4 linked regions of the Caenorhabditis elegans genome follow. The protein of the gene in region 1 purifies or fractionates together with the protein of each later gene. This does not show direct contact. Each region holds a gene or a part of one and is shown on either strand. Other genes may lie near its edges.

Region 1 (7,325 bases):
CAATTAGTAAAAAAGTAACAAATCTTCAGAAAAATGTCTCGAGAACGGTCGGATGTTCAAAAATCCACGTCTACGCGAAGCATCGATAATGTTGGAAGAATGACGCCAAAGGTTAACGCCAAATTTGTAAATGTGAAGAGCAAAGTGGGAAGTGTCACCAATCATAAGGCGGGCGGCGGAAATGTGGAAATTTTCTCGGAGAAAAGAGTGAGTGAACATTAAAAAATTTTTCTGCGATTTGAGCCAATCAGATGACGTTTATGAAGGTCGCTGTTTAGCTCAAAAAAGAGCTGAACAAATCGGTCTTGTAGATCTCATTTTTGGAGAACACCAAATAAGGATGTTCGCCAGAAGTTGCATTATCAAAACCTAGATATTTTTTACACATTCAGTTATTTCAGCTCTACAACGCCCAATCCAAAGTTGGCTCCTTGAAAAACGCAACACACGTTGCCGGAGGCGGAAACGTTCAAATCGAAAACAGGAAGCTAGATTTTTCGGCAGCTTCACCAAAGGTTGGCTCGAAAACCAATTATCAGCCAGCAAAGTCTGACGTGAAGATAGTTTCGGAGAAGTTGACTTGGCAAGCTAAATCAAAAGTTGGGTCAATGGACAACGCAGCGCATAAGCCTGCTGGTGGAAATGTTCAGGTATTTTGAAGATTAAGAATTTGAAACACGAGTGAACTTGAATTTGACGTGGTGGCTTTTCATATTGCAGCTATTGATTTTCAGATATTAAGTCAAAAATTGAACTGGAAAGCCGAGAGTAAGGTTGGGTCAAAGGACAATATGAATCATCGGCCTGGTGGTGGAAATGTTCAAGTTCGTAATAAACTAGGCTACACACACAATATCACGCTTTTCTTCAGATTTTCGACGAAAAAATCCGCTACGTGTCGACGGACTCGAGCCGGAATCATTCTACGCTGGACATCAGCTCGTTATGATCGGACCACGCTTTCACTTGAATTTTACCACACCTCACTGATCTTCAGAGGTTTTGTATTTTTTCAGCAAACTGATGACCTCTTTTTGTAATAAATTTGATTATTTGAATAATTCATCTTCTCAGCACAGTTTATCATCCATCACTGGATCACAATTTGCCCCACGAAATTTCAGGTAATTTCCAGCGAAGTGGCAGTAAGTCGACCAAAAATGATGACGGCCACAATAATTGATAAGAAGAAGGATTTTGCAAAACGACAAAGTGTCTCACAGAGATCTTCAAGCAATTCTCTACTGCCCAACAAATTTCCAGGCGCCATTTATCCTCTTTCTCCTGATTTTATATTCAATCGCTGATGTATACCGCGCTTAATAATATGCTTTCAAATATTTGTGCAACTATTGAATTAATTTTTGAATATATTAACTGTTCCCAGCCGTAGTTTCTATTTGACTTCCCTGAGCATGTTGAATCGAAGAATTTTATCCCAAGGTTTCAGCTTTTTTATCTATATTTTCATTTTTTGCTTTACAATCTGTCTTTTGATATTCTCTTCAATAAAGTGGTAATTAAAAGTGTATCGTGGGTTCTACTTGAAAATGGTAATTTTTCAGTAAGAAACTTCAGGAAAAGTTAGAACAGCTAAGTCTTTCAAAAGAGAGCTTAATCTTCAATGAGCAAGATGCTCGACACTCGAGACGACTCCTCTCAAATTTGGAGCAGCTGATTTTTGTGGGTGGTGTGCCGAGAAGTGGGACTACTTTGATGAGAGCTATTCTAGATGCACATCCGGATGTTCGATGGTAAATTTAGAAAATTTCAAAAATGCGATGTATGCTGCGCTTGGCCAAAAGATCTTGAATTTCTTCTCCTTTAAAACTTTTAAACTCCGTCGAAACAAGGCTTTCTGAAGTCAAGACTTTTTCTTGACAATATGATACTTCTTATTCAGAAAAAACAAAACGTATTACTTCTGCTCACTTCAAACTTTCAGTGGCGGTGAAACCATGCTGCTTCCAAGTTTCCTTACATGGCAAGCAGGCTGGCGGAATGATTGGGTCAATAATTCAGGAATTACTCAGGAAGTATTTGACGACGCTGTTTCAGCATTCATCACTGAGGTAGTGCTCTTGTCACCGTGTTCATCTTTAATTGCAATTCATACAGATAGTCGCGAAGCACAGTGAACTAGCACCTCGTCTGTGCAACAAGGATCCATACACCGCATTGTGGCTTCCGACTATTCGCCGACTGTACCCGAATGCAAAGTTTATTCTGATGATTCGAGATGCTCGTGCCGTAGTTCATTCAATGATAGAAAGAAAAGTACCAGTTGCTGGGTATAATACGTCTGATGAAATTGTAAGGTCTCCCTAATGAAACTCTTGAATTTCTAAAGATAATTTGAAACATTTAGTCAATGTTTGTTCAGTGGAATCAGGAGCTTCGAAAAATGACTTTTCAATGCAATAATGCGCCAGGGCAATGCATAAAAGTATATTATGAACGACTGATTCAAAAACCTGCGGAAGAAATCCTACGTATCACCAACTTCCTGGATCTGCCATTTTCCCAGCAAATGCTAAGACATCAAGATTTAATTGGAGACGAAGTTGATTTAAACGAGTATGTGCTTTCTTCATTAAAACTTTTGAACTTCAACTATCTCTTAATTTTGCAGTCAAGAATTCTCTGCATCACAAGTTAAAAACTCGATAAACACTAAAGCCTTAACCTCGTGGTTTGATTGTTTTAGTGAAGAAACTCTACGAAAACTTGATGACGTGGCACCTTTTTTGGGAATTCTTGGATACGATACGTCGATTTCAAAACCCGATTATTCCACATTTGCGGATGACGATTTTTACCAATTTAAAAATTTTTATTCTTAAAGTTTTGCACTGTAACCTATAACTTTTATAGAAAATAAGATGTCCAAAGTTACCTACATCATAGATTGTTATTATTTTATTTTTATCTATAGATACAACTGTTAACCTACATCATTATCATTATCTCCCATTGTTTTCAGATAGAGGTCAAGGTAACTTTCTAATTCTCCACACTCTCTGCAACACTATAAAAAAGAATGCGCGCACGCACAAATGTCCACTATTCCGCCGGACACGGCTGCTTCCTGCAGCTGTATCGATTTTTCTTTTGTCGTTTTTTTCTTTTCGAACAGGATTTTTGAATGCATTCTTCTATATTTTTTGAAAAATAAAACTTGCAATTAATATACTTACAATTAAATACATGCTGTTGGATTTCTAGAAAATTGCTTACATTGTTAGTTAAATTAAATACTATGCATTATATTTATAAATAAAATATTTATTTATTATAACTTAGTACTTAGTACTTAAGTACTTAAAGTACAAAGTAGGGGAAAAAAGATCAGGAACTAGAAATCTTATGATTAAATTTTGATAGGCTAAATTATTAGAATTTTGTTTAACTTCAAACGATTAATTTTGAAACTAAATTCTTACTTTGAGGTTTTTTTAAAAATCATATTTTATGTCAAATCCGACTTTTACCATATACTACTCTAATTATATTACTATGAAAATGAGCATCCAAAATCTCAACAAGTTTCCAGATGAGCCGTGCTCTTCTTTTCTTCGTTCTCGCCATTCTGGCTTTGTCAGCCGAGGCACGTGGACCACGTGTCACTGACAAGGTCTTCTTTGACATGGAGATCGGAGGAAGACCTGTTGGGAAAATCGTCATCGGACTTTTCGGAGAGGTCGTGCCGAAGACAGTGAAGAATTTCGTTGAGTTGGCACAGAGAGCTGAGGTATTTCAGTTTGTTAATTAAATTCTGTAGACTTTAATATTTTCAGGGAGAAGGATACGTTGGTAGCAAGTTCCACCGTGTCATCGAAAACTTCATGATTCAAGGTGGAGACTTCACACGTGGCGACGGAACCGGTGGACGATCGATCTACGGCGAGCGCTTTGAAGATGAGAACTTCAAGCTTCAACACTACGGACCAGGATGGTTGTCAATGGCCAACGCTGGAGAAGATACCAATGGATCTCAATTTTTCATCACTACCGCCAAAACCTCATGGCTCGATGGAAAGCATGTGGTGTTCGGTAAGATCCTGGAAGGAATGGACGTAGTTCGTGAGATCGAGGCTACACCAAAAGGAGCTGGAGATCGGCCAATTGAGGATGTTGTCATCGCCAACGCTGGACATATTCCAGTAGAGAACCCATTCACTGTCGCCAGAGCAGGAGTTAATTAAACCTAATGATCTACGGGTTTTCCAATTAATATGTGTATTTTTGTTGAATGTACTATAATTACTTTCTAAAATTCTAATAAACGTGTTTTGTTTCAGTACTTGATTATACAGCGCTGTCAGGATGTGCTACGTTTTGGAACTTGTAATAGTATTAATAATTGAGCAACCTGACTTGCCAATGTTCGAAATACCAAAAACACTATATCATAACTTTGTGGAGTATTGGTTTCAATTCTGAAGTTGAAATACACTTCTAAAAGCAATAATTTATTCTCGATCCGTTCGTCTAACTAGTAAAGTATAAAGATTTGTACATTTGAAGACTCATTAGAATGGGTTGGGGCACGTTCCGGTATTGACAAAGACCGACTTCAGGTGAGTATAATGTTCGAGTACTGCTGTTCCGTTTTCACGTCCGAATCCTGATTCTCCGACTCCTCCGAATGGAACCAGTGGCGCTGAAATTACAGGTTCTTTTCTAGATCTAGTGGGATTCGGAGCAACTTACAAACATCATTATAGGTATTGACATAGACGTTTCCAGCATTCAACTGCTCAGATACTCGATAGGATCTTGAGAGGTCTCTGGAATAATGAGATTTTCATTGAACATGCTTTAATAGGGTACTCTTACTTCGTGACTAGACCCGCAGCTAATCCCATATCGGTGTCATTTGCAATTTTAATAGCTTCATCTTCGGTATCAAATGGAATGATTAGAAGTACGGATCCAAAGATTTCCTCCCGATATACTGTCATTTTGGGTGTAATGCCTGTTAAAATACATGGAGACAAGTAGAATCCATTCTCGAGGCCATGAACGGCCACACGATCTCCACCACAAAGCTTGGTGGCTCCTTCGGCAATGGCAGCTAAATAATGGTGTACTATTGAGAATCTACTTAAATTTCTAAACTTACTACTTATATACCCTTCGACTTTGTTACGATGCTCTGCAGAAATATGGGATCCAACTTGAGTATCCTCTTTCAAAGGGTCACCAATTTTCATCTTCTGCGTGTGATCTACCAACTTCTTCGTAAACTCCTTCAGCACACTTTTATGAACCAAAACTTTTGAAGCATTAGAACAAACTTGTCCCTGACTGTAGAAGTTAGCCATCATTGCACAAGACACCGCCGAGTCGATATCGGCGTCGTCGAACACGATCAATGCGGATTTTCCACCAAGTTCCAGGGTTACTGGCTTGATATTTCGATCGGCGCAGGCTTTCATGATTTTCTTTCCAGTTGGGATGCTTCCAGTGAATGATACTTTTGATACCCCATCATGATGAATGAGATCTTGTGCAGTTTCAGCGTCACCTTGAATAACATTGAACACTCCATCCGGTAGTCCAGCACTTTTCAAAATTTCAGCCAATATCAGTGCAGTTACGGGTGACAGCGGGCTGGGCTTATATATGACAGCATTTCCACAGGCCAGTGCTGGTGCAGTTTTCCAGGAGCATGTTTGAATTGGATAGTTCCAGGCACCGATGGCGGCGACCACTCCAACAGGAAGACGGCGTGTATAGGCGTAACGAGAAGCATCGAGTGGAACGTGTTGACCGAGAAGGTCAGATGCTAGATTTTGGAGATCAGGATTTGTATGTCATTTGTTGCTGATAATTATGCCAAAACGGGAGATGAGCGGGAATTTGAATTGGGTTACGTCACATATATCTTACTGTAGGCAGCCATTTAGAAAGCGCATATCTAATCAGGGTATTCGAAAATGAATTTTCTATAATTTTTTGATATCAAAATGCTATAGAACACCTACAAAACAACTCAAAAAATCAAAAATTAGAGAACGCTTATTGTTTTTTGAAAATCTCTTATCATGACTGCAGTTGTCGTCATTTTCTAGAACCAAACATTATTATGCACTTACCAATTCCGGAATAAAAATAGAAAGTGTCAACACAAGAAAGCACGTCAGCTTTTGCTTCTGCAATTGGTTTTCCATTACTAATACACTCCCAGTAGGCAATATCGTTGCAATGAGTTTTCAGAAGATCTCCAGTCTTTTTCAGAATTTCGCTTCGTTCCATCCATGAAGATTTTGCCCATTGTTTTTGTGCTTTTTTGGCTTCTTTCACTGTCAAATCGACTTGATCTCTAGTTGCATAGTGCCACGTGGCCATGGGTTTTCCTGAAAAAAATGTTTTAAACATTTTCAGATGAAAAGTTATTAAAATTGAGAAATGGAAAGATTCGATGGTTTAAAAAACATTTTTTTTCCATCTGGCAGTTTTTTTTTTTTGGAAAAAAGTCGAGAACAACTTTTTCAACTCAAAAAAATTAAATAGTTTTTTTATTTTTTTTATTTTTTGTAGATTCATATAATTTAAATCCGGGGTGGGAGGTAAATGATTTTTTCGGAAAATCCGCAAATTGCCGGAATTGAAATTTCCGGCAAATCAGCAAATTGCCGGAATTGAAATTTCCGGCAAATTGGCAAATTACCGGAATTGAACATCTCCGGCAAAACGGCAAAACGACAAATTGCCGGAATTAAACATTTCCGGCAAATCGGCAAAACGACGAATTGCCGGAATTGAAAACTTCCGGCAAATCGGCAAATTGGCAAATTGATCGATTCGAAAATTTCCGGCAAATCCGCAAATTGGCGGAATTGAAAATTTCCGGCAAATTGGTAATTTGCCGATTTGACGAACGCCGCCTGATTTAAATACATTCCTTATTCAAAAATTTGCTTGAATTTTTTTCCTGAACAGAAGTTACAGTTGTATTCAGTTGAACTTGGAAAAAAAATTAATTTTAACTTACCACTCCTGGGTTCAATCACTTCAAATTTGCGATCTGACGGGAATTCCACATGGTTTCCAGCCACAAAGTGTGATGATAATTCGAGAAGCTTCGTTTCCGTCAGGCTGTTCAGATTGATAAGATTAGGGAAGATTCGCATTTTTAACTGCAACTCAATGGATGAAAAACTAAAAATGAATTGAAATGAAAATAAAACATGGATTAGAGAGTAAGTGGTCACGTGTATTTTTTTCAAATTTCAAAAACTGCGGGAATTTTAATTTCGTATGGTGTGACATCACGCGTGTTTTTCTGCTCTCGTTTTGTGTGACGTCATTTTTTTTGG
Region 2 (7,518 bases), on another chromosome or scaffold:
TCTTGGATATGCAATCAGCCAATTCACACAGCTGCCTGAATCAATTGCTATCGACGACGACAAGTCAATTAAAGCGTACTATGAAAAATATTACGCTGAGTGGTATCAGTAAGTGTTTTTATAAAAAGATTTCAAAATGTTTAAGCAAACTATTTCCTTATTGCATTACAGAAAACACAATCAAGCTGCCGGCACCCCAGAGGCATCAGCCGCAACAGTTCCTCGAGAAATAAAAATAGAACTGGCTAAGCCAAACACAGCTTCTTTTGGATCAGCGACATTGCAACCCACTGTGAGTCATTTGCCTCGTCTTACCCAAATCATCTCTCTTTTTTTCTGTTTGAACACGACATCACTGTCAAACATGGGTTATCATCAATGCTATCGTTTTAGAAGCTATTAAAATCGAAGCCACATATTTTTATAGGGAATTTCTTCACCGTCCGCTGCAGCCGTAGAGCCGACAAAAGAACAACTGGACAAAGTTTGCGAATACGTGGGCAAAATATCCAAATCATTTGGAATCAAAGACCTTGTCGGATTCGCCAAGAACAATTGCCCTCTGGTGCAGAGCTTCCATCCAGCGGTATATCTCTCGAATTTATAGTCTTTTTGCATTCAAGTATTCTATTTTCAGTCCACCTGCGAGCAAATCCAGCATCTGATGAGTTACTGTGAAACAGGAATACTTGTAACCAACCAATGATCTCATACATCTTCCCAAACTGTGTATTTCTACTTTTGATGCCATGTTTTGATCTTTTTATTGCTAAATGTCACCAACTTCCCTGACAAATGTATTCTCTACCTTGTCCACAAATAATGAGATTCCATGACTTTTTTTCTAATAAATCTGGAACTGTAACAAGTAATTACCAGCCACGCCTTGTTTCCTGGCGTCATTTTAGGACTGAAAAGAGTTTTCGTCATTTTCAGAGCCGCTCCCTTTTTCATTTTCCATCAAAACTGAAAAAAAAGTGATAATGCAATTTGAAAAAGGGTATGACTATCATAATAAACGAAACGATAAACGTGCACATACACGCGTTAAGGAGAAAAAGAGGTGGGGAAGAGAAGGGGATGGTTGGCAAACCCATAAAGCGAGCCGGCCCTCGAAAGGTGGAGATTCAGACAGAAGTGCCAGCGGCAAAGTGATAACGGGAGACACGACTTTGCACTACGCCTGCTTCCCCGCGAAATGTGCTCTACCAATTATTGCCTGGCTGTTTTTGTACTAGTTGGTAAGATTCTTGACAGATTCTCTGTATCATGGAGCGCTTTTAATCGAAATTCTAGTAAAAACTAGGCACTATTTATTTGATTACCGATTTTTCAAAAATTCATAGTTCAAATGTCAATTGCTCACAACGATTTATCTAGGCACTCTCTTTTTCAAAATTTCGTTCAATTCCTGATTCTCGCATTCTCATTGCCTTTACCCCATCATTTACAAGTATTCAAAACTAAACAAGACCGTTCCACAGTTATTAGATTGGCAGAATTAAGTCTTGCACTAACCGGATTGCTTTTGCTTACTTATCATCAGTTTTGATAACGAAAAATTCCACGTGTTGCCCGGTAACGCCTAAATACTATTATGACTAAGTAACTTTTGCAAGATCGGGAACGTTCCCAAAATGAAATCTGCACAAGTATTAGACTACTGTAATTTCCTAAATCTAATGTGATTGTTGGTATTAGTTGCGTCACAACTAGCGGCGGGCATTTTCTTATCAAAAAGAAAATGTACGGTGGCACTGGATACGACTTTTAGAAACCAAACATTCCAGGCTCGATTATTTTTCAACCTATTAGAAGTTCTGGGAAAAAACTGAGAGACATGACCTTAAAAAATAAACCAATGAAAAGTTTCAGGCGTTGTGGCGGCACAAAACCCAAGTTTAACGGCATGCGATATCAATAACCAGCTAAATGTTTGTCAGAGTCAGTTCAATCAACTTTTGGGATTTGATGGTAATGAAACTGAAAAATAGAATTAAGCACAAAAGTTTTGGTGTTTCAGCTTCTCTCGGTGCTGCCAAATATCAAGACTTGAGAAGTGCCATTGAGCAGTCGTATGCCAATAACCAAGCATACGGGCTTCTTACAACTTGCGATGCCTTCAAGCAGTACAAGCAGTGCTAGTAAGTGACATAGTTTGCAATGTTGTGAGATTCACAATGTGCGACGGGAATATCTCAGTCGGTAGTGTGGTGATCGCAAGCAATCATGAGACCACTAGTTCAAGTCCTGCCTTTCCCTAGGATCACCCAACCTAGCTTGGGAATTAGAGGAATCCACTAATGGCTCGTGGCTTGAAACTAAAGCCTAGTGGGAGTTTAAAAACGGAACACCCTTTGATCCTTTAATTTTTACATCTCAAATCAACTGATTTATAGCCAACCAAAAGAACAGTTCTACGCATGTGCTCAGAACCCATACGGTCTTCTAACTGGAACCAAGTAAGTTCTCAATTCAATATATACTGTAACAGTTTTTGTCTGTTCTTCAGCAACAACGGCGCCCCACTCACACAGGATCAGGCTAATGGATACGTAAAAATCTGGAACCAACTTGATTTTGTCTGTGGTGCTGGATTCTCGAGTAAGATTAGCAATTATACTGTAATACTGAATACTAGAATTGAATTTTCAGTCTTTGCCAACTCTGAAGTTTGCGGCTCTTCTGTCTTTAACAACCAGACAGCTGCAATGAGACAGTGCGACAATGACTTCAACGTGAAGTCCATGGCTGACCCAGCTCAAGCTTGCGCGTAAGTTTTCAAGTTTTGTTTCCAATCAAAAAGAATAATGAATAATCTTAACTTTCTAGATACGTTGAGATCGCAGCCAACTGCTACTTCCAACTGTTCTGGAACGCTTGTAAGAAGCCAGAGATGGCCTACTGGGGTTGCAACTACGAGCGTACCGGTACCAATCTTCTCTTCCCACAGTGCTCTCAGATTTTCTGCACATGTAGGTTTTCAGAATGGGATGGGGTTTAAATAATGTTTATTTTATTTTCAGTCCACGAACGCGTCTGATCGTCTTTTGTTTAATCATCTCCATTTTTTGTTTTGGTCAAAATGTTTTATTTGAATTCACATTTTTGGGAATAAATCTATGTAATTTAATTCATAATTTTTTAATTTCAAAAATTTGTTTTCGTTTGAAATGCTTCAATGCATTGAATACTTCTGACTTTGTGTGTGTGTGTGTTTTTTTTTGCAAAATTAAAAATACATATTTGTGCTCACATTATGCTTTCAGATGTGGCAAGACCGGTGTTTGCCATTTCTTGCGTTGATTCTTGGATTGTCAGGTAAGTAAATTGAAATTAAAACTTGTGAAATATTTGTTTTAATCTTATTTTTTTATTCCAGGAGTCCAATCAGCCGGTCTAAACTGTGACTCGACGGTTTATTTTGAGTGCCAAACTGCTCTCAATGCGGTTTTGAGCATCAGCGACCCACAGCCATGGTTTGACCCCGAAAACTTCCGCAAGGAGGCAAGTTTTTAATACAATAGTTTCCACGCTTGCCATTCCATGAAATGATAACTGAATAAGGTGATATGACGAAGGGTGTGCATAGTGAAATGTGAAATGTGAGGTTTAGAACGTGTCGATGATAACTTTTAAGTCAATGGGATTAATTATGTCATCATGATTGTATTATAATCTGATTTTTTGATTATCAGAAAAAAGAGCAAAACACAATTATTGATTAAATTTAGGTGGAGACAAACTACCAGGCTCAAGGACCCAGTGGAATGCGTAAAGTTTGCAAGTCAGTACTTCACTAGATACTCTCTCTCGAATCCTGAATATAATTCCAGAGCTTTCCGCGAGTTTAAAGTTTGCATGGGCTCTGAATACGCGAACTGCATGTCTGCGGTCCATTTTGTTTCTGTATCGGCCACTCCATTCAACGCTTATCAATTTGTTGGACTGTTCAACCAAATGCACTTTGTCTGTGGAGCTGGATTGCAAAGTATGAATTTTTATTGTCATTTCCCGACGCGATGTCGGAATTGAATTTTGTTGAGTACACAATTACACATCTTTTTGGCATGGTATGAAGTTTCTAGAATAGGTGGAAAACACGGGGAGTGTCGAAATCAAACTTTCTGGGGCTTGCTGCTGTGGTAATTTATACACATTATGAGACTCTTAGAGGAATTTCTGAGTTATGATTAGAATAGGCATGAATACTAGCACATATTAGGTTTAAAAAAAACATTCAAGAGACGCAGGAAAATATGATATACATGGGAAATAGGTCCATCGCTGACCACAACCGAAGTCGGCTGCGCATTTACTATAAATTCCTAATTTGCTCAGAGATCAGAAATCGATTAACACAAAAATAGCGCCTTATACAGACTAATGGATTCCAACCGTAACGAGGTAACTTTCTTCATTTCAGCATACCTCCTTAATGAGGGCTGTATGTCAACTACTTGGAGAAGCCAAAGTGATGTCCTGAGACAATGCCGACTAGATTATGAGGTGAACAGTGACGTTGACGCAAATCAGGCTTGCACGTAAGAAGACCATCGGGTATTATTAAAAAACGCCAACCAAACTTACAGACAAGCCAATAAGTACTTGATTTGCTTCGAAACTCAGTTCAAAAACAACTGTGGTGAAAAATCAAACGATGCCATGTTCTGGGCTTGTGAATACTCAAGAGTCAATGTTTTTACTCGATTCCCTCAATGTGCAGCTAGATGTGTTTGTAAGTGAAACTTGAAAATTGTGAAATCTAGTAAAATTGATTTTGTTTTTTTGCAGTGCCATATAGCGGAGGAATCATCGGATGAGTCGAATAAAACGAAATGATGTCAGATACAAACAAATTATTAACTTTTTGTCATTCAATCTTAACTATGTATTATCATTTGTGATAAGAATAAATTTTTATTACTGAGAAAATGCCATCGGTATAGTATATGACAATCTATTGGTGTGGCGATGGGGAACTTCATGAAAAGTTTTGAAAAAAGGGTTTTGAAATAAATATTGCCAATAGCTTTTTTGGGACGTTTTCAACATTTGGTATATTAAACATTTTGGTAGGACAACAGATTATAAGCAAATTATTATTGAAAAAAAACTATTTTTTGACTGTGTATCTTTTATAAATTGTTTTACTTATTATGCAATATTTGAAATAAAAAATTAGTTTTTTTTTCATTCGTTTTAAAATTTCACCGTCAAATTCAAATACAAGGTTCCGAAAATACTTTTTCCGCTTAGCCCATTTAATGCAATAATCAATGTCTTTTAAGCGTACAGGATTATTGATAATCACTTCAACTGATAAGGACTGCAATTCTTAATCCCATAAATGAAACATTTCCCTAGCTTTTCCGTTCCACGACATGCTGTTGAATGTATTGATTGCGGTGTTGGCAAGTAAGTTCAAAATGTACCCCCAGATTGATTGACCTTTTAAGCATGTTCAGTAGCACCAACAGCTTTTTGTGCATGCGCTCCTTCAACTACAGGTACATGCACTCCAGATTTACTTCAGTGTTGCGGGCTACAGCTCAAATCTGATCTAGGCTTGTCAAACTGTTATGGTAAAGCTTTTATAACAATTTAATTGAATGAGCTATCAATTTTTGAGGAATTCTTGCTTTCGAGCCTGAATGTCACCGTCAAGAAATTGAAAACATGTACATCAACGGTATAAGTGGTTTGTTCAAAGTTTGCGAGTTCGTTTTTTCATACTTACATTGTCTTTTGCCCATCGAAAAAAATTGATTTCAGCGCTTTTAACAAGTACTATGAATGTCTTGGACCAGCACGACGTGACTGCACCAGCATTAGTTATCACGTGAAAGCAGGTCTTCGACTTGGGTAAGTTGGCACAATTCATTATTTCTGTTAATCTTACCAAGTTTTCAGAGATGCCGTGCAAGTGGTGTCAATGTACAAACAATTCGGATTTGCGTGCGGAGCTGGATTTGAAGGTAGGTTTTCAATAATTTTTGAGCAACAAAAAATTTTAAATGTTTAAGGATTCTCCAACAACGATGTTTGTATGTCGAACATTTTTTCCACAAAACAAACTCAGATCAGCGATTGCCGTGCCACATTTGCCAAGAATTTGTTGGCAGATTATAAGAACCACTGCATGTAATGAAATATGATCAAAAATTTACAACATAATTAATTTTTAAAAAATCTGCAGGTACTTCGAGCAATATACCGGATGTTTCAATGCATTGTTCGATCACAGTTCCTGTAACTCTGAGAGCTCTTGGTGGGGATGTGAATATGCACGACAAGCTGGTCGAGCTGTTCTGCACGATTGCAGTCTTCAATGCTCAAGTAAGTCCAAAACAGATTAATGAGCAATTTTTATTTTTTCAGCATTCTGAACGCCGGGAAGAAATGCAAATGTTTTATCAATTTTGTGGTATTTCGATTTTGAAATAAAATATTTCGTATGTTTCAACAAAAAAGCTAAATCTAAAAGAGATACCATCAAGTTGAAATAATTTCCCATCCAAAAAAAATTAATAAAACTTTTATTACAAAACAGTACAATACGAAATGTTATTGAATTTCGTAGAACCAGATCAAATTACATATTGCGCCACGTTGTTCTAACATTATTCGTAAAAAAATAGTGTGAAAATGTAAAAACTCATTTAATTTATCCGATAATTACAATCATTTTAGCTGAAAGTGCTTCAAAAATGGTTGGAAATTGCCAAATGATGAATCGAATTTTCCAGCTTTATATTTCCACAATTGATATCTTTCAGGCAATTTTTTTAGCACGTTTATTAATGTTTCAGCTAACGTCGATGTTATTTTCAAGTAAATCAAACAACATTCTGTAGTTCGGCACTAATTTTTTTAATGAAAAATGTGGGAAAAAATAATGCAACTTTTTTTGTAGAATTGCCGAAAATAAATGCCACCCACCCCTGATCATATATGCATTGGCAGGCTAAAATGAATACTTGGTACAATTTCAGAACATAACTTTTTTGTTGGTTTTTCAAAATAATTTTTTGGTCTGGTTCCAGTAAAATTTTCAAAAAAAAAACTTCAAATTGTGAATGCTTGTTAAATGGGTATCTATTTACACCTTAAATACTAGTGTGACTAAAAAGGTGTAATGCTATGGTAGAAATAATTGTTTGGTCCCATTCATGGCCCGTAATGGCTATGGGGCTTTCCCATCTACGACTCATAAAAAGTAGAAACACTTGTTTTCAACAGACCTGTAAATAAACAAGAATATTAGAAACACGATCACCATTTACTATATATAAAGCGCTTATTCCGTTTGTCCATAGTTTGTAGTCTATGTAGTCTTTGTAGTCTGCGAAGTTTTAGCTTCTGGAGGGATAGTGAGTTGGGGTTAGTGTAGGGATATAGTCGGGGTACTGTAGTGGTACAATGGTGGTACGGTAGAAGTACTGTATGATTACGGTAGTTTCAGAAAAATTGGTTTTCAGCTCCAGAAGTCGGGGGCCGCGCCGGAGGTGCGGTCCA
Region 3 (9,930 bases), on another chromosome or scaffold:
GAACAACTTTGTTTTGAGAGCATACTGATTTCCTTTGCTGTACAAATACTCTTCCGATGGCAAATTGTATCCGATGACATACGACGTCTTCCATCCTCCAAAGAGTGGGAATCGTGGACGAATCTCAACGTCAACGCTGTCAGCACGGATTCGTACAGCGGATGTAGAAATGTTTCCGATCTCATCACGATAATAGATATCTTTAGCTTGAGCAGGAAGAACTGTGGTAAACTGTTGGAGTGCTGGTTGGCGACGTCCACGACGGTCCATTTGGTAATCGATTCTTGAGAATGGACCATCAAGCTCAGCTCCCTTGTGAACCAATTCAATGTACTCCTCCACAGCGATGTTTCCCCAGTGAGAAACCTCGATGAATCTTTCCACGATGGTGGCAATAACGAATGGCGAGTTATTTTCATAATGAACTTTGACTGGTTTCGTCTCAAAAGCTGGGATATTAACATATGGTCCGTAGATGACACGTTCCGTTTCTTGTTTCGATGGAGAAACTGTGGTTGCGGATAGAAGCTTGCCTCCTTGAGTGGTTCTAATAGTTGTTTTTTGGGTCACAGTTTCGTACAGGGAAGGAACGTATGCAGATGTGTGAAGAACAACAAATTGACTGTCAGATTGCTGAATCTTGGATGGGAGTGGCTCAAGTACTTGTGTGATACGAAGATTGATTCTTATGGTAACTTTGGCTCCCTTGGCAACAGGAGTTCGGAGGTCTACTTCGTAAACTGCAAGATCCTTTTCGGCTGGTTTTTCAGAAATTTTCAATTTTCCTTTGCTTCCATCGATTCCAGCAGAAATGAAAGAAAGAGTAGCAGATTCTTCTTTAGACAAAGCAATCTGAAAAATAAAGTTGAAATATAGGAAATATAGTGAATTTTCAGGAAAAATATATCTACATACCAAAACTTTCGATTGAGGTCCATTTCCAACGTTCTCAAATGAATACAATGTCGAAACCTTGACAATTTGTGACGTGGCATCGATGGTTCGGTCAACATTAGCGGCTTTCCAAGCGTCTTCAGCGAAAACCGCCCCCAGGAGAGCGATGGCAAATAGCAATCGCATCTGGAAAAATTAGATATACAATCAAAAATGCAGAAAACCCAAAAATGTCATATTAAAACGTTTCAAGAATGAAATTCGACTGATCGAGCAAGACGACATCTATTTGGAATTTAATTAATCAGCTCGTGTTAAAAAATTATCTATTATTACAATCTCAGCACAGAGTAACTTTATTTTGTCACAAAATCATTTAGCAGCAAAAATTCGCATGTACAGACTAGAAAAATGATATTTTTGTTTGGTGAAATCAGCAAAATTCATTATAAGAGCAAATTTCAAGTGTATTATATTGATTTGATGCATAAATTCTGCGAAAATCTATCTTTAAATTACAATAATTTCAGCAAAAAAAAGAGAAAGACGTGGTAAACTCGTCCACGTATTTTGAATCGGAGCCATTCGTGGCGAGACCCACCAGCCGGCATGATGACTGCGCCTTTAAACAAAGTCTGTTCAAATTATCATTTTTTCCGCGAACCGGCGCGGATTTTCAGATTTTCTAATCCAATTGTCATCGTTTTGTTGTTTTTTTATTCTTTTATTCGGATTAGATGTATTTCACTCTTAGTTTCTATTCCTTTTTTCCAAACTCTGACTCTCAAAATAGTTATTTTTCGATGTTTTCATAAAGTTGAAAAATATTCACGTTTTCGAGGGAATTAGTATTTGAATACGCTGTTATAGTTTCTTCGTGACTTAACTGTTTTGTTAATTCTATAAAATTCATTTCGAAATCTCAGCTTCTCTTTCGAATACATATATTTTGAAGGATCGAAAAATGGTGGCGACTACTCAACAGACACCAAAAGAGGCGGACAAAAAGAAAGCCGACGATAAAAAAGTTCCCGAGAAAGCTGAGCCAAAAAAAGAAGAGATGGTTAGTTTAAAGAATAACTATTGTTTAAGCCGTAATGAGACTTATAGCTTATTTATTTCAGAGCGAAGAGGATCAAAAACTCGAGGAGGATCTCAATCTTCTTGTTCAGCGTTTATCTGAACCGGACACAACACTTTACAAGCCATCACTGGAGACTATGCGGACATTGATTCGTGCTTCAACCACATCGATGACCTCTGTTCCAAAACCTCTCAAGTTTATGCGTCCGCATTACAATAAAATGAAGGAGATTTTCACATCGATCGTGGCGCCTGACGTTAAGAAACTTTGCGCAGATATCATTTCAGTGCTCGCAATGACATCAGATGAGCGAACCGACACGATCAACTATCGTATTCTTGGATCACACGAGCCGATCGGGGATTGGGGACATGAATACGTTCGTCATTTGGCGATGGAAATGTCAGAGGAGTGGAAGAAGGAAGGCACTTCGGATGCGAGAAAAGCTGAACTCCTTAAGTTGACTCAGGATATTGTCAGCCATCACATGAAACACAACGCAGAAGTTGAAGCGTGCGATTTGCTCATCGAAATTGAGCGTATTGATTTGCTGATCTCTTATGTCCAAGAAGTTGATCACCAACGTGTGTGCCTTTATCTTCTTTCATGTGCCCCATTGACTCCAGACCCGGATAACATTATTCTTATTCGCACTGCTCTCCAACTCTATTTGAAATTCAACCGGTATCTTGAAGCTGTTAGATGTGCTATCATGGTCAACGATATTCCACAGGTTCATCAAATATTTGCGAAGGCATCTGACCCGTAAGTTAAATATAACGTCTCTTACTTTCCTAAAGAAAAGTTTTCAGATTGCTTCGAAAGCAAATGGCTATCTTGCTCGGTCGCCATCAGATTTTCCTTGACTACGAGGGATCTGCAGATTCGGATGCTCTTGCCGAACTGAATTCCAATGCTCATCTCTATGAATACTTCCACTCCTTGGCTCGTGAGCTCGACATTATGGAGCCTAAAACTCCAGAAGGAATTTACAAATCTCATTTGGAACATTCCCGGCCATTCGGAAACTCTGCTCAGCCAGACTCTACTCGCATGAATCTCGCCGCTGCGTTGGTGAATGGATTCGTGAACTGTGGATTCGGAGTTGATAAAATGATGGCTGAAACAGAGGAAGCCTCCAGATGGTTCTACAAGAACAAGGAATATGGAATGCTTACTGCAGCCGCCTCACAGGGTCTTATCTGGAGATGGGATATCGATACCGGCCTGGCACAATGCGACAGATTCTTGTATATCAATGACGATTATATCAAGGCTGGAACCCTTTTGGCTATTGGTATTATTTCCTCTGGAATTCAAGATGCTTGTGACCCTGCTTCCGCACTTCTCCTTGATCATGTTCAATCTGATCGGTCAATTATGAGAGTAGGATCAATTCTTGGACTTGGACTTGCCTACGCTAATTCCAAAAGAGAAACCGTTACAAAGAATGAGGAACGCGGTGTTATTTTCGAGCTCAAGAAAGTTCTTTCTGATCAAAAGCCATCGGCTATTCCTGAAGTTAAAGGACTTGCTGGACTTTCTCTTGGCCTCATTCTTGTTGGAACTGCTGATGCGGAAGCTGCGATGGAGATGCTTCAAGCTCTAATGGATAAAAGCGAAACTGAGCTCACAGATCCAAATATGCGTTTCCTTGCATTGGGAATTGCATTGATCTTCTTGCAAACTCAGGACAAGAGTGATGTGTTTGTCGAAAGTCTCCGTTCACTTCCTGATCCATTTGGAGCGATGGTAAGTATTATTTGTTCTAGATCACCTCGAGTTTTGGCTATTCCCTTGTTCATATCATAATGAATACAATTTCAGGTTTCTACGCTCGTTGAAGTTTGTGCATACGCAGGAACTGGAAATGTTTTGAAAATCCAGAAATTGCTCCATCTCTGCTCTGAACACTACGAGACGCCAGCAGCTGAGAAGAAAACTGCCGCTTCTCGTGGACCGCGTGGACCAGCCCCAGCTGCTGCTACACCTGCTCGTCCTGCTGCGCAACCTGGAAATGTCAACGTCGCTGGCACTCCAGCCCCAACTGGAACACCCGCCGTTGCCCCAGCTGCTCCGAGACGCGACCTTCCAGGAGCCGCAAGTGCTGCTACACCAGGAGCTCCAGAGACTGCTGCCGCCGACGCTACTCCAGCACCACCTGCCAAGCCAGACTTGTCATCGCAACAGGCGGTTGCTGTACTCGGAATTGGTCTGATTGCTATGGGAGATGACATCGGATCTCAGATGGCTCTTCGCATGTTCGGACATCTCATCAGATATGGAGAACCAGTTATCCGTCGTGCTGTTCCCTTGGCGTTGTCACTTCTCTCCGTCTCAAATCCTCAATTGAACATTTTGGAAACTCTGTCCAAGTTCTCTCACGATTCTGACGCTGATACCGCTCACAATGCTATTTTCGCGATGGGACTTGTTGGAGCAGGAACAAACAATGCTCGTCTTGTTGCTATGCTCCGAAACCTGGCTTCTTATCACTACAAGGATCAAGTTTCTCTAATGCTGGTCAGAATTGCACAAGGACTTACTCATCTCGGAAAAGGAACAATGACGTTGAACCCATGGCATTCTGATAGGCAATTATTGTCTCCAAGTGCTTTGGCTTCTCTCCTTTCAATTTGCTTCTCTTTCCTCGACGCCAATAACACGGTTAGTGCAAGATTGATATTTCTACCATAATTTATTTCAAATTTAGATTCTCAACAACCGTCAGCATTACTTGCTCTACACGTTGGTGCTCGCAATGCAACCAAGAATGCTTACCACACTGGTAGAAGACGAAATGAAGCCTGGAAGCTTGAAACAGGTATAATTTTTTTAAAAGTTTCAACTCTCCAATGTGATTTTACAGTTGAACGTTTCTGTTCGTGTTGGTCAAGCCGTTGACGTTGTTGCTCAAGCCGGAAAGCCAAAGACAATCACTGGATTCCAAACTCATACTACGCCAGTCTTGCTTGCCCATGGTGAACGTGCCGAGTTGGCGAACGATGAATGTATGCCATCCTAACATTTGATAATTAATTTTTAACTAAAATATTTCAGATCTCTCTGTGACTCCACATCTTGAAGGATTGGTTATTTTGAAGAAGAATCCAGATTATCAGCCGGTTGTTGTATCAACTAAGAAGTAACCAACAAATTTATGGATCTAATTTATTTTTCTCCCCCTTTTCTCCCATCTAAATTATCCGTTTTGACCCGTTTTATTGTGCACAATCCGATTGCATTCGCTCTCTGCCCGATTTCCCGTTTTTCTGTCAATTTTCCCTCTCCCTCATCATTTTTTCTTTGAAAAAAACGTGTACACTTTAAATTTGAGTGGGACGGTATTCGAGTAAATTATTACTTTCAATCTTATCATCCTGGGTTTTATATATGTATTAATATTTATTGATCACAGGAATTTGAAGATCTTCTAGGTATCCTTATCAAAGTATCGAATATATCAGAAAATCCGTCAAGGTGGCGATTGTTCGACATTAGATTTTCAGCATCGTTCGCATACATCTGGAAATAAAATTTAGAATGTTCAAATGTGAGTTTGGAAATTTTAGTTTTTCAGTTTTTAGAAAAGTTTAATGAATTATTACACTCACCTCAAAAGTAGCCTTTTTATCCATAAAAACATCTTTCATTTCATCAATTTCATTAATAATATCACTTGTCAAATATATAACAACAAGTGTCATAATTGCCATAAAACATAAAATTCCAATAGCAGCAAAATCAGCGATGAAACGAAATTTGTATAAAAATTCGGATGTATTCATAGTTTCGAAAAAACTATAAAGTTTCAAAATTTGATGTATTAAATGGAAAAGTAATAGAAAGAAGAAGCAAATGACCAATACAATTAGACAAAGAATTGAAAACTACAGAAAACAGGTGATAAAAGATAAGAAAAAGTGAAGAGATTTAGAGATATTTGTAGAGACTAACCAGTTTGACGAACTATAGAAGTGAATTGTGTAAACTTTTAGACTTTTTGTGATTCAAAAAAAAACAGTTTGAACATTTGAAATCACAGTATTATTTAAAGGTGCAGTGTTTAGCAAAAAATTATCGTAACGAGACCCGGTCACCATATTTCCGGCACAAAAATCTAACAAATAATGTTATAAGCCCATTTCATAGTTTTTAACATTTCCCACCAATCTAATCGTTTTGAAAACCCATTAATTTTTTTCAAAAATATTCTTGCAGGTTCAGTAAAACGAGATGAGCAGGAACAATCTTATTGTTTACATGAATCCGCCTGACATTTTACAAGAATACTGAAATTTGTGAAAATTGCACATAAGATATGGGACCAGGCGATTAAATACAATAGGGAATGATTATCTGACATGATTAAACTTTAGGATTACTTAAACAGGATTTATTGGTTCGTTATTGATGTTGAACGACCCTGATGATGACGTGCTGGATTGAGCATAGTAATCGTCAAATTTGTGGTCGATCAAACGTTGCCAACGAGTCCGAACCATCCCAAATTCCTCATCATCTTGGCGTTCGGTGTTCGTTTCTGAAAGCAGTGTTATTAACATAAACAACCATTTTATCTTATTAAAACATACTCTCACAAATTTCCTGCTCAAGAAAGCGAAGAGCGCAGACAAAGCCATTGATCACTCTGAAGGCAAGTTGCGAGTTCTTTTTGAATGATTGCAGATTCCATTTGTCTGTGCCAAGGATGTCCCGAAATTGAGCGATAGCGTTTTCGAACGGCAGGGATTGCACATTGTTATTGACAAGAAACTTTGTGATGGCATCGTAGAACATCCGCAGGTCGTCCAATTGAAGGATTCCTGTAGATTGCACATCAAGGACGCGGAACCAATACTCGATCGATTGATTCTCGTCAGTCCCAATCATCGCAAATATGAGCCACGTCACTTCTTTCGTATCGAGATAGTTTCCCGTTGAACGACGCACTAGGTTACTCGAGAAGATTCGGTCGACGATTATTGTTGGAATACCGGTTTCGTAGCAGTAAATGGCGATGGCATTCGAATCAAATATCTCATCCCATTTGCCAATATGATTGAGCTCGACTGCGCAGAGTTGTCCGGTGTGCCTACAATTTTAATAATTAAATGACTAATCTGAGATTATAGCCGATTACTTCATGTACCAATCCTCGCATGCATAACGCACGTAGTCATTTAGAAGATCTTTAGTCTTAACTTGAATCGTTCCCGTCCACGTTCGCCCAGCAGTCCAGAGTATACGCTCAGTGACCTGAAATGTTATCGATACACAAAATTAAATTAGAAAAATAGAAAATTACAATGATCGAATACATTTCAGCTTCCTCCTTTGAACAGTCCGTTTCAGTCAGTTTCCGCTCGAAAATAGCTGACTGCAATTCTTCGCGTGTGATCACTTCTGAATACGACCGCACTCTTTCGAAAATTGATGAGTTAACAAACTCCAAAGCAGTGTGCATTGAGCACGAAGATGTACTGCTTTCATTTTCGAGTTTCGTCGCTTCTCTGTAACAAAAAATCATGTTTAAATAAATCTGATGATTCAACAAACATGTGCGAATCATCGACTCCAGTGATTGCTTGAGACGTCAGATTTCCGCTGGAGTCATCCGAGCAAGAGGACCACGACTGATCGCGAATCGGAGCTCTCATTCTCGTGAGTTTTGGTGATGACGTGGCAAGCGGGGAAAACAGATGCTGAAAATTTCCAAGAATGAAAAGTATATTCTCCTGAGCTGATAAACATACCGTCGGGAACTTCACATCAATAACAGACTTCATCTGAATCTGCTGGCTCATTTTCACGTGGGATGAGCGTATTTGAACACTGAAAAGCAAATGCTTAAAATGTTATAATTGATTTGAGACAAAAATTCTGGATAAAAAAGTGAAAAAGATGTAATAAAACGCAGAAAAGAACTAAAATGGACTTTCGTAAACAATTTGTCACTAAAAATAAAATTTTCGAGGCTAGCTGTAGATCGTTCCGCGCGAGACCTTCACGAGTGGCGACATGTGTCTTTGAAAACTACAAAAATCAAAAAAATAGGCCTAGAAAATACTAAAAACACGTGAAGCATTTGATAAAATATTTATTTACACCATTTTATAGAGACGTAAACACATTTCAATTCATTTCCTAACAAATAACAATGAATAAACAAACAGTTATACAAAAATATTGGTGGAATCTGATTATCGGGACAATATTTATGTTTATGATCCAAGCAAGTTCTCAAGAATTGAAGGTGAGCATTTTTCAATTTTAGCATCGAAAAAGTAGTAATTTTCAGCTCGTAGGAGATTCAGAACTAGCTATATTCCCTGAAGATGCTCAAAAAGTTTGCGAAAGTCTCAATGGAAATCTTGCAGTGTTGACGGATGAAAATAGGGAATTTTTTGAGGGTAAAACAGTTTTTAAAAATATTTCTCAATCTAGACTTTATTTTAGAGCAACTATTCAGAAACTGTACACCTCATTCAGATTTTTGTCCTAAAATGTGTGTTTTTGAAAATTCATCAGATAATCAATTAGAAGAACTCAAAATACCAAATGGTGTGATTATGACACAACCAGTTCATCTCGGAGACACATTGCACTTGAAACTGAAAATGGAAAATAAAACGTAGGAATTACATTCAAAAAATGGAAATATGTTAATAGCTTTCAGAATGGAAGTCTTCCAACTATCTAATGCAATTATCGAAGATATGGAAAAAGGATCAGAGCAACAAGTTTTTTTAGAATTATCAATTTACAATAGATACGTTGATAAAAGTAAAGCTATAAACCATACAAAAGCTCATAAAGTTAATGTTGGATATGGTGAACTTACAATAACAGAAAAATGGGAACGATCTAAAGTAAGTAGTGTGCAGTATGATTGTTTTAATTGGTCGATATTTTTTAGCATCTAGTAAAGCCGCACAGGCTTGACATAGATCAATCAGGAGATCCCACAATAGACTTGAAATTAGAGTAAGTTCGAAAATATTACTTTTCCATGTAACGTTACCAACCGTAACTTATCGTACTTCCGTCTTTTTTATCTGGTAGATTTGATATTTGGTTTTTCTATAAGATAGAGTAACACCAGTTGGGCTTTTGTATAAATACTCTCATGAAAGTATAGCTAAATGATATCTCACTAATATTTTTTTTTGAGAAACTTATTCTTAACATTGCGCCAATATATTAAAAAATTCAACTTTGTGAAAATATAACTCTTGAAATATTAAAATTCAAACAATTAAAATGTAATGCAAAAATGTGAAAACTTCGAAATTCTTACTTTTTAAACTGTAAATATGAAACGAATCAAAGGGTTTTAAAAGTTTTACTATGATTTTTGCCCATTATAGCAGCATTGTAGTGATTATAAAATCTCCTACTGAGTGTACTTTAATGCTAGGACACTATAGGGTACGGTAGTTTTCCCTTTGACATTCACCGAGTTTGTATATTTTAGGCCAATATTTTCTTAAGTTTTTAATTAGTTTCTAAAGGTTTCCAGCATCCTTCTCAACGTTTTCAAAAAAAAAACTAGCAATAAAATGTGAATATTCAATGTTCTCCACCAGGTGGAGAACATTGAATATTCACATTTTATTGTAGGGGTGGCAAGAGTGCGACCTAGGTCGCTAGGTCGCTGTTTTCATTTAGGTCGCATTGCGACCTGCGACCTAGCGACCTGCGACCTAGCGACCTGGGTCGCATTGCGACCTGAAGTACTGACATTTTGTGCACTTTCGGTTTTGATTCACTTGAGTTGTTAAAATCTGTATAACTCGAAAACTACATAAGATTGCAGAATATGTATACTAACAAATTGCTACAAATCATTTATTTTACATTGTTTTCGATTTCTTATCCATAACACACCTTGTCGAAAAAAGTTAGAACAGCCGACATCCGCCGGATTTGTTGCCGACTAAAATTGTTTC
Region 4 (7,321 bases), on another chromosome or scaffold:
GCTTCATCTGAAAGTGGAGCCGTTGGACGAACAAATGTGGGATAGATATTCTAAATTGAACTTTTAAAACAAAATTAGTCAATTTATTTAACGATCACCTTTTTACTAAACTCTGCATCTCTAACCATTACTCCAACAACTGGAAGTTTGTAAAATGAAAGTGTATATGCTGATGATGTAACCAAATCAATAAATCTTGAAGATGATGTCAGTAATGGAGAAAATATAACAGAAGCCAATGAGTGATTGAGCATCTGGCTGCACACAATATCCTGAGTCAATTCCAGACGATTATCTCCACTGAATATAAGAAATGTCTTTCTCGGGGGAAAAGCTCAACAAATAATAATTTCGAAAACCTTTTTGCATCTACAAAAGCTGCGGAAATAGTGTCATTCCCCAAGTGATATGATGTGCTTCCAAAAACTTCCACGAATGCCGCCTGAAAGAAATTAAGAAGAAAAGTTGAAAATATGATATTTTGTGAATATGAATATGCTAATTTAAAAGTTTGGAGCTTCTTCTATAATGCCGAGTTTGTAAGTTTTTAAAGTAAAAATTTCAAAACTTACCGTAACGGAAACTTTCAATTCTTTGAAAGTTTCTTGATTCGGCTCAGAAACAATTAAAACTGATACTTTATAGTCTATTGTGTATCCCAATTGTAAAAATATCCAAATAAATATAACTGATATTCGGAACATATCTGTAACAAAACTAAAGTTTGTCGTGTTCCAAACAGAAGCAAGATAATTGAAATTTTGGAACTTTAAACGGGTTTTTAAATGGAAAGTAAAACGAGGTAGTAGAAGGATGGAAATAAGAGAAAAGTGGCAGTGCTCTTCTCTTTTCAACAAAAAAACGTATTCTACTTTCACCTCTTCTCCTTCCGAATAAGAGAAAAGAAGACGAAGAAAGATGATTTGGTGGGCACATTTGAGCAAAAGGAAAACGGGCGAAATTGAGTAAAGGAAATGGGTTGAAAAATGGGTGGAGCAGTGAGAAAGAGCACTGGATACTAGTTGATTAAATTATTTCAAAATTCAAATTGTTCTTGAACGGTTATCAGCGGATATTACAAAATCCGTTCCAAAAAATTTTTAGAACTCTATCGAAGAAATTGAAATTTTAAACGTTTTTTTGGAAATTCTGAAAATATGTCAACTTTTTGTTGCTTCTGTAATAAAAAATTACCACTAAGACCTTCAAACCAAACTGTGTCACGAATATTTAGATCTTTCTACTTTCAGATCACGACGTTTGAACGATATGCTCAAAATACAAAACATTAAAATTCAAGTTTTGGGCATTTTTCTTTTTCAAACTTTTTCAAAAGATAAATTATTTTATTAGTTCAGAAGGGTATATACGAGAAGTATACCACTTGATTTTTTATTTCAAAAGCGACACTGGAGCTCCTACCCCGTTCTGACATATGTCTATTCAGAATTTCTTGGGTTCATCATAACATCATAAGCATTCATCTAAAAATACCTCCTCAAAATCCTATTATTTTTTCGATTTCCTTGTTTCCTATGAATCACATAAGTATTCCGTGTAATATCTCGTGCTGTGTGCGGGCGTCGCCGCAAGGAGGAGCTATGATCATCACAAAAGAGCACTTCAATTCGTACACAGAGGGGCGGAGTCAGACATTCTAAAGTGAGATAAAAGCATCTTCACAACCCATGGAATGTTCATTTCTAGATATTTTTTCTTGATTTCTAGACTTTCTCAAGTTCATAATTTTATAATTTTCAGTCAAATCTTATACTTTCAGAAATGGTTGTTGCAAAGCCTACAGCAGCAGTTTCCATTGAAGATCTTATCAAGAAACATTCCGATGTTGATCCGTTCCTTGTCAAGAAGTGGGAACGCATTTTCTCACTATTTTTTGGTTAGTTTTCCCACTCTTTTTTACTTTCAATTATATGTTTCAGATAGAAATGCTTCTCATCAAGTCGATTGGGGAGATTTTTACTTGGTTGTCAAGGTGAGAATTATTTTTAGAATTCTAAATTCTATTATTTTCTTTTAACCTTCCAGAAAGTCCGTGACATTTACGGAGCTGAATCAGTTCAAACTGGCTTTGCCAAGAAATCTCTTGCTGCTCTCTGGGAAGGACTGTGCTCCATTGCTGATGCTGATAAGGATCAATTGATCTCGATTGATGAATGGATCGGACTTTTGAAGAAGACCGATGCGAAGACTGAACCAAAATGGTTCAAGGACTATCAGAACTTTATGTTCAAACTTTTTGATGTTTCCTGTGATGGAGTCATGGATCTTGCCGAGTATACCGATGGAATGAGTACATATGGATTTGATCAATCCGAGTGTGATGCAGCTTTCCATAAGTTTTCAGTGGTGGGATTTAAATATTTTTTTGATTAATTTAAAAGGAATTATTTCAGGACAAGAAAGGTCAATACGTTCCACAAATGAAGCCAGAGACCTGGAACACATACTTCCATCAGTTGTTCTACTCAACAAATAAATCTGACGTTGGAAATCATCTCTTCGGAATTATTGACTTTTAAATTTTCCTTGCTCTATACCATGTACATTGTTCATCCCCCACACCCTTAAAATATTCTGAAAACCCTTCACTTTCCACTACTTTTCTAATGCTTTACAACATATAGTATTATTTTTGAACATACAACCTTTAATTTGTCTCTGACACCAGATGTGCTTGAGCATAAAAATTCAGATAAAATCATGACAAACAAGTAATTTTGATGAATGATCCTCCAGATGTTTGGGTAAAATAAAAAGTTTCCGAGAAACTTTAAATTTTTATAGTGGCTCGGGAAAACTCGGGATTGTTTGTTGGTTGGATTGTTAGAAGGGAAAGAGCATAACATACAATGGTTTAATTCTTTTTGCTGACTTTTCAGTAAAGACTTGGCAGTAAAAACTGGAAGCTTACGAAAAGCCGCTGAATGAAGCCATTGTATTTTGCTCTTAGAAGCAGTAACTATATTTTTGCGGTTTCAAAACATATTTGAGATTCAATAAATTGAGAAATTATAGAGCACAAGTGTCGCAAAAAATAGAGGCGCTCGTCATTTGGCTCCAGTTTCTCGCCCTAGTTTGGCCCAGAAATTATTAACGCGAATCAGAAGTTGGCCAAACTTGGGCAAAAGCTGAACTCTGGGATAACGTGCCAAAAAATATTTTTTGAGCCGCGCCTGAGCAAGAAACCGGAGCCAAATGCCAAGCGAGTCAAGATATCTGTTTAATTCAAAAATAATTTATCGAAAGCCTTACTCGTAATGACTGTAAAATTCCTCCTATTCAAAAAGTTGGCTCAATTCCAAGGGTACTTCTTGTTTACAAACAACTACGTGTGTTTTCAGGTATCAAATAACCTAAAAACATTTCTTCTATATCTAAAATAGCTTACCTCCCACCCCAACTGACCCATTTTCTCTCTGTCTCCCACCTGATCTAAACTTATAACAGACAACACATGTGCGTCCATTATTTTTGTGACACTGCGTGGGAAAGAGTGGACCACCAGCTGACAATCCCGGCGATCAGTGATCAAGGGATCCAGAGATTGGGAGAAGATAATAAAATGAATTTAATGGATAATGGAATGGCTTTATCGTGTTTACGAGAAAAAAAAAGAACAGAGGGGAATTTCAGAATGCGATAGTTTAGGAAATTTGAAATTGGAACTTACTTTAGAATCACCGCTTTTCTTCTAGAATCGTGCATCCTTGGGGAGCCTTTTAATCTCAGAAATACTTTTTAAAAAACCAATTTTTACAGTTATAGGCTACGGTAAACACACATACAAACTACATTTTACAGCAATTACCCCTGATCATTGAATCTTTTTTGACGCCCTTTGTAGTCTAAATTATCATTAAAAAGAAGGTCATATCTTCCTGATGACCACTTGGACAATTTGTCGAATTGGGTGGCAGCGATGTCACTTTCTTGCAGAAATGAGATGAACAAAACATGGGGAATCTGTGACTGTGACCGGTGGGAATTTCTGATTTGTTGTTTTGTTTTCTATGTGAAGTTGTTGATAATTGTGTAAAGTATGGGGAGAACAACTGATTGCTGGAGAAAGCATAGGGGAGTAAATTACTTTAAAACAACTATTCCTTTTTTGAAAAAAAAAAGAAAACAAGCAAAAATTCCCAAGTTTACAATTGGGCGGAGGCTTTGTAAAAATGTGATCCTTGGTGAATTTTCTATGGTAGTTCATTTACTTCTGCTTCAGATTTTTTAATCTGAAAGAAAACGTTCGAAAAAATCGCAAAGGAATATTCGCTGAGGATTTAAATTTTTAAAAGCCCCCATTATATTTTCTAAATTTGTGCAAATTGGTTATTGAGCAACTAAAAATTGTTCAAATAGGTTTTTCTGAATATAAATGATTTTTCTATAAATTTAACAGTGTACGAATATTTGTAAAAAGAAAATATACATATTTTATGTAGCCTTGCTTATATTCATAATCTGTTCAAAATATATGTAATTAACAAAATTTAAATTTTGCGTTTTTCAAAGTTCAAAAATATGCCTTGTGTTCAAAAAGTTTTACCAAAATCGCACGTTCTATATCTCAATTTTTCAAATCTTACCACCCACTTGCCCTTTTGATCATTTTGAATCACCGTCTGTAGAAGATAATATCCAACTGAAAACTTTACCATATAATCACCACATTTTCTCGGCGGGATGTCAAATTCTTTTGAAAGTAGTATAACCTTGTACTATGTGTATTGCTGTTTTACCTCTACCGCCATTTAAAGGGGAAAATAAACAAATGTTTCCTTCTCCTTTTCTAAATTGTTTCGACAATTCCTGTTTCATTTGGTAAATGTTTACTAAATCTAAGAAACGGATCATTTGCATATTTTACTTTTTGAATCTCTCTACATCAACTAGTTTCTCTTTTCTAAATGACTATTCGACTATTTATGATTGGTTTCCGTTTGAATAAGCTCTCAAGAAGTATATAACAATTATTTTCCAAACTTTTTAACCACATTTTGTCTTTTTTTTTAGAAATTAAAAAAGTTTTCATCCGCGTCTCTGTTCTACATTAACTGAATAATCAGCACAAAAATTTACTGAATAATCTCAAAATCAACCTTGGGCGCAATTTTCGATTCATAAAAGTACAAGCTTCCATCCAGATACCACTTGAAACATAATAAGAAAGAGATTCACATTGAATTCTCACTTTCCATGCAATTATTTCAACTAATCGGCATCCACAAAAAGAAGAAAAAGAACACTAATAATTAACCATGTAATCGTCACCTGCCTGACACCTCATTCTAATTTCAATTCGTCAAGCAGTTCGATGTTCTTTTTTCCTGCTGACCTCCTCTCTCTCTCAGTGTCCACTTATTTTTATTATACAGTCATCACATCCCCGCAAAATGTGTCCAAATGTCTACTTGTCTACCTGAACAATTTGTTGTTACTTTTGCTTAGTTTTGTTGTGATTATTGTGATTCTTGAAGATTGGTCATTGGAATCTCTTCTTTTATTGAAATGATATCATGAATGGTCAAGGTTGCAAATCAGTCCTTTTATGTTCTAGCTAGCCGATTTTACGGCTACTTCCAAATTCCAAATTGAGAGATATTCAAGAATATGGTTTCAATTTCTCAATTCAATTTTTATAGCGTCTCCAACATTAAATTCTGAGTTTGGTTCCATAATCATCAAACTATACGTCTCCTGTCTTTTGTCGCTGACCTACATCCATCAGCTGGTATCACTTGTTCCCTTTTATTTGTACTATTCCTTTACAATATTTGGTTTTCTTTTGTCGTTCAAAGTGAGACCACAACCATTTAAAAAACATGTCTCTCAATTTATGCATCTCAATTCTGAACAGATGAAAGTGTCTTCGCTTTTTTTATTCTCATTTCCTCTAATGCGAAATGTTCTTCATTTTTTAAAGATGCACAACTTAAATTGATTGAAGAATTAAAATGTTCAACTGAAAATATTGATCTTCGACAGTTTTCAATGAATTTATTTCTGAATAATTGTTGTAGGCAACACGGGACATAATTACAGAAAATGCCTATATCGTAAATATTTCAGAAAAAAATTTCAGAAAAACTGTAAAATTGCTAAATTTGGGATTTGCAATTTTATAGTTTTTCAGAAATTTCTAAAGATTTTCGCATATCAGAGTTTGGTGCAATAATGTTCTTAAAACTTTTACTTATTGAAAAACCAGTTTAATACAAAAAACGGACCATAGAAAACATCGTTAAATGCATAAGAGTATACCTGTAACTTTTTGGAATGGTAAAGATAATAATGAGTAACATAAATTTTTACAAATGTCGTCTAATAAATCTAAAACTTTTTGTTGCCGTAAATGTTTCAGTCTTCGTTGACTAGTAGATCAAGGTTTTTTTTACCCAGTTGGACTTTCTCTTGTTATATTCCGCACTTTTAAAAACTGGGCATCAATACAGGAAATGATGATGATAGTGTAACCGTTGATCTATTATCATTTGCTTGCCTCCTGACTGAAATTTCTTATTATTTCATTTTAATATGGGCGGCGGTCCTGGAACCATCATAGCATTTTCTATATATTTTTCATTTCAAAGATTAAAGGTTCCTTATATGTATTTTCCGGCGTTCTCTATGATCCCCCGATTTTCCGTTTTGAACTGGTTTTTTTCAAACTTTGCATGGCTTCAATTTCATTCTATAGCCACGCACAATTTGACCTCTTTCTCACTTCTGTTGCTATATTCTAAAAGTTACGATTTGTTGCCATGTTTGACATTGTAAGTTTTTTTTTCTCGATATGTTGAGAGATGAATTTGAAGCAATGTAGGTAAATATGAGTGAATAAGTTGAGGTTTAAATGAATCTAATTTTGAAGTTATGCAGTATTTCAAACAGCTTTACCAGAAATTAAATTATGTCAAGATTTGGAAAATTATTCAAATGACCACGTTTAGAAATTCCAGCTAATCGACGTAGTTTGTGAGGTCTTATAAGATACTTTTCCTTTACTTTTTTGGCTGAAAAAAATTCATACGGTTTCAGTTTTTCGCACATTACTTTTCCGTTTAACTCTGTTGCACTTTTGCCGTATTATTCTTTATGCAAATTTTACACTTAAGGATTTACGGTATTTAGTTTTTGGCGACAATTTTTATTGCCAACTTCTGTAAGTTAAAGAAATATTTCGAATTGTTTTTGAGAAACTAACTAATTTCTTAGACTACTATTAGCACACTATCTAAATGCATGATCTGCCATACTGGGACCATAACACTCCCCTCTCCCACCCCACTTTATGTGGACT

What was found.
Region 2: the proteins of cyn-6 (region 1) and nspg-12 fractionate together in Caenorhabditis elegans (co-fractionation; one large-scale study listed by BioGRID). This does not show direct contact.
Region 3: the proteins of cyn-6 (region 1) and rpn-1 fractionate together in Caenorhabditis elegans (co-fractionation; one large-scale study listed by BioGRID). This does not show direct contact.
Region 4: the proteins of cyn-6 (region 1) and cex-1 fractionate together in Caenorhabditis elegans (co-fractionation; one large-scale study listed by BioGRID). This does not show direct contact.

The regions. Positions count from the first base shown.
Region 1 is NC_003281.10:769,861-777,185, forward strand, and holds cyn-6 (Peptidyl-prolyl cis-trans isomerase 6), read left to right. Parts: upstream 1-3,553; coding exon 3,554-3,751; intron 3,752-3,797; coding exon 3,798-4,205; 3' UTR 4,206-4,299; downstream 4,300-7,325. Other genes in the region: ptl-1 (Microtubule-associated protein), read left to right, coding at 30-207, 402-650, 1,125-1,307; tpst-2 (Putative protein-tyrosine sulfotransferase), read left to right, coding at 1,717-1,754, 1,946-2,072, 2,119-2,313, 2,369-2,577, 2,633-2,843; alh-11 (Aldehyde dehydrogenase domain-containing protein), read right to left, coding at 4,533-4,663, 4,714-4,790, 4,840-5,077, 5,126-5,791, 6,102-6,362, 7,001-7,145. UniProt on the Caenorhabditis elegans protein: PPIases accelerate the folding of proteins. It catalyzes the cis-trans isomerization of proline imidic peptide bonds in oligopeptides.
Region 2 is NC_003284.9:5,251,925-5,259,442, forward strand, and holds nspg-12 (DUF19 domain-containing protein), read left to right. Parts: upstream 1-5,374; 5' UTR 5,375-5,384; coding exon 5,385-5,418; intron 5,419-5,468; coding exon 5,469-5,585; intron 5,586-5,632; coding exon 5,633-5,720; intron 5,721-5,775; coding exon 5,776-5,865; intron 5,866-5,913; coding exon 5,914-5,978; intron 5,979-6,026; coding exon 6,027-6,144; intron 6,145-6,199; coding exon 6,200-6,339; intron 6,340-6,381; coding exon 6,382-6,389; 3' UTR 6,390-6,460; downstream 6,461-7,518. Other genes in the region: Y34B4A.10 (aECM cysteine-cradle domain-containing protein), read left to right, coding at 1-108, 172-292, 428-586, 638-706; nspg-14 (DUF19 domain-containing protein), read left to right, coding at 1,199-1,241, 1,876-1,974, 2,024-2,144, 2,400-2,462, 2,513-2,604, 2,656-2,773, 2,833-2,975, 3,027-3,043; nspg-13 (DUF19 domain-containing protein), read left to right, coding at 3,270-3,321, 3,383-3,507, 3,735-3,787, 3,837-3,991, 4,427-4,544, 4,593-4,738, 4,795-4,823.
Region 3 is NC_003282.8:6,901,833-6,911,762, reverse strand, and holds rpn-1 (26S proteasome non-ATPase regulatory subunit 2), read left to right. Parts: upstream 1-1,849; 5' UTR 1,850-1,858; coding exon 1,859-1,957; intron 1,958-2,018; coding exon 2,019-2,743; intron 2,744-2,790; coding exon 2,791-3,730; intron 3,731-3,805; coding exon 3,806-4,645; intron 4,646-4,691; coding exon 4,692-4,802; intron 4,803-4,847; coding exon 4,848-4,989; intron 4,990-5,038; coding exon 5,039-5,127; 3' UTR 5,128-5,343; downstream 5,344-9,930. Other genes in the region: ribo-1 (Dolichyl-diphosphooligosaccharide--protein glycosyltransferase subunit 1), read right to left, coding at 1-852, 916-1,080; T22D1.17 (Col_cuticle_N domain-containing protein), read right to left, coding at 5,384-5,503, 5,593-5,766; T22D1.5 (EF-hand domain-containing protein), read right to left, coding at 6,364-6,521, 6,574-7,073, 7,122-7,237, 7,287-7,491, 7,538-7,683, 7,735-7,785; T22D1.8 (SRCR domain-containing protein), read left to right, coding at 8,139-8,234, 8,280-8,391, 8,438-8,612, 8,658-8,850, 8,898-8,965.
Region 4 is NC_003280.10:5,445,901-5,453,221, forward strand, and holds cex-1 (Calexcitin-1), read left to right. Parts: upstream 1-1,780; 5' UTR 1,781-1,782; coding exon 1,783-1,897; intron 1,898-1,940; coding exon 1,941-1,993; intron 1,994-2,046; coding exon 2,047-2,367; intron 2,368-2,414; coding exon 2,415-2,540; 3' UTR 2,541-2,734; downstream 2,735-7,321. Other genes in the region: nmr-1 (LITAF domain-containing protein), read right to left, coding at 1-50, 99-300, 360-442, 573-704.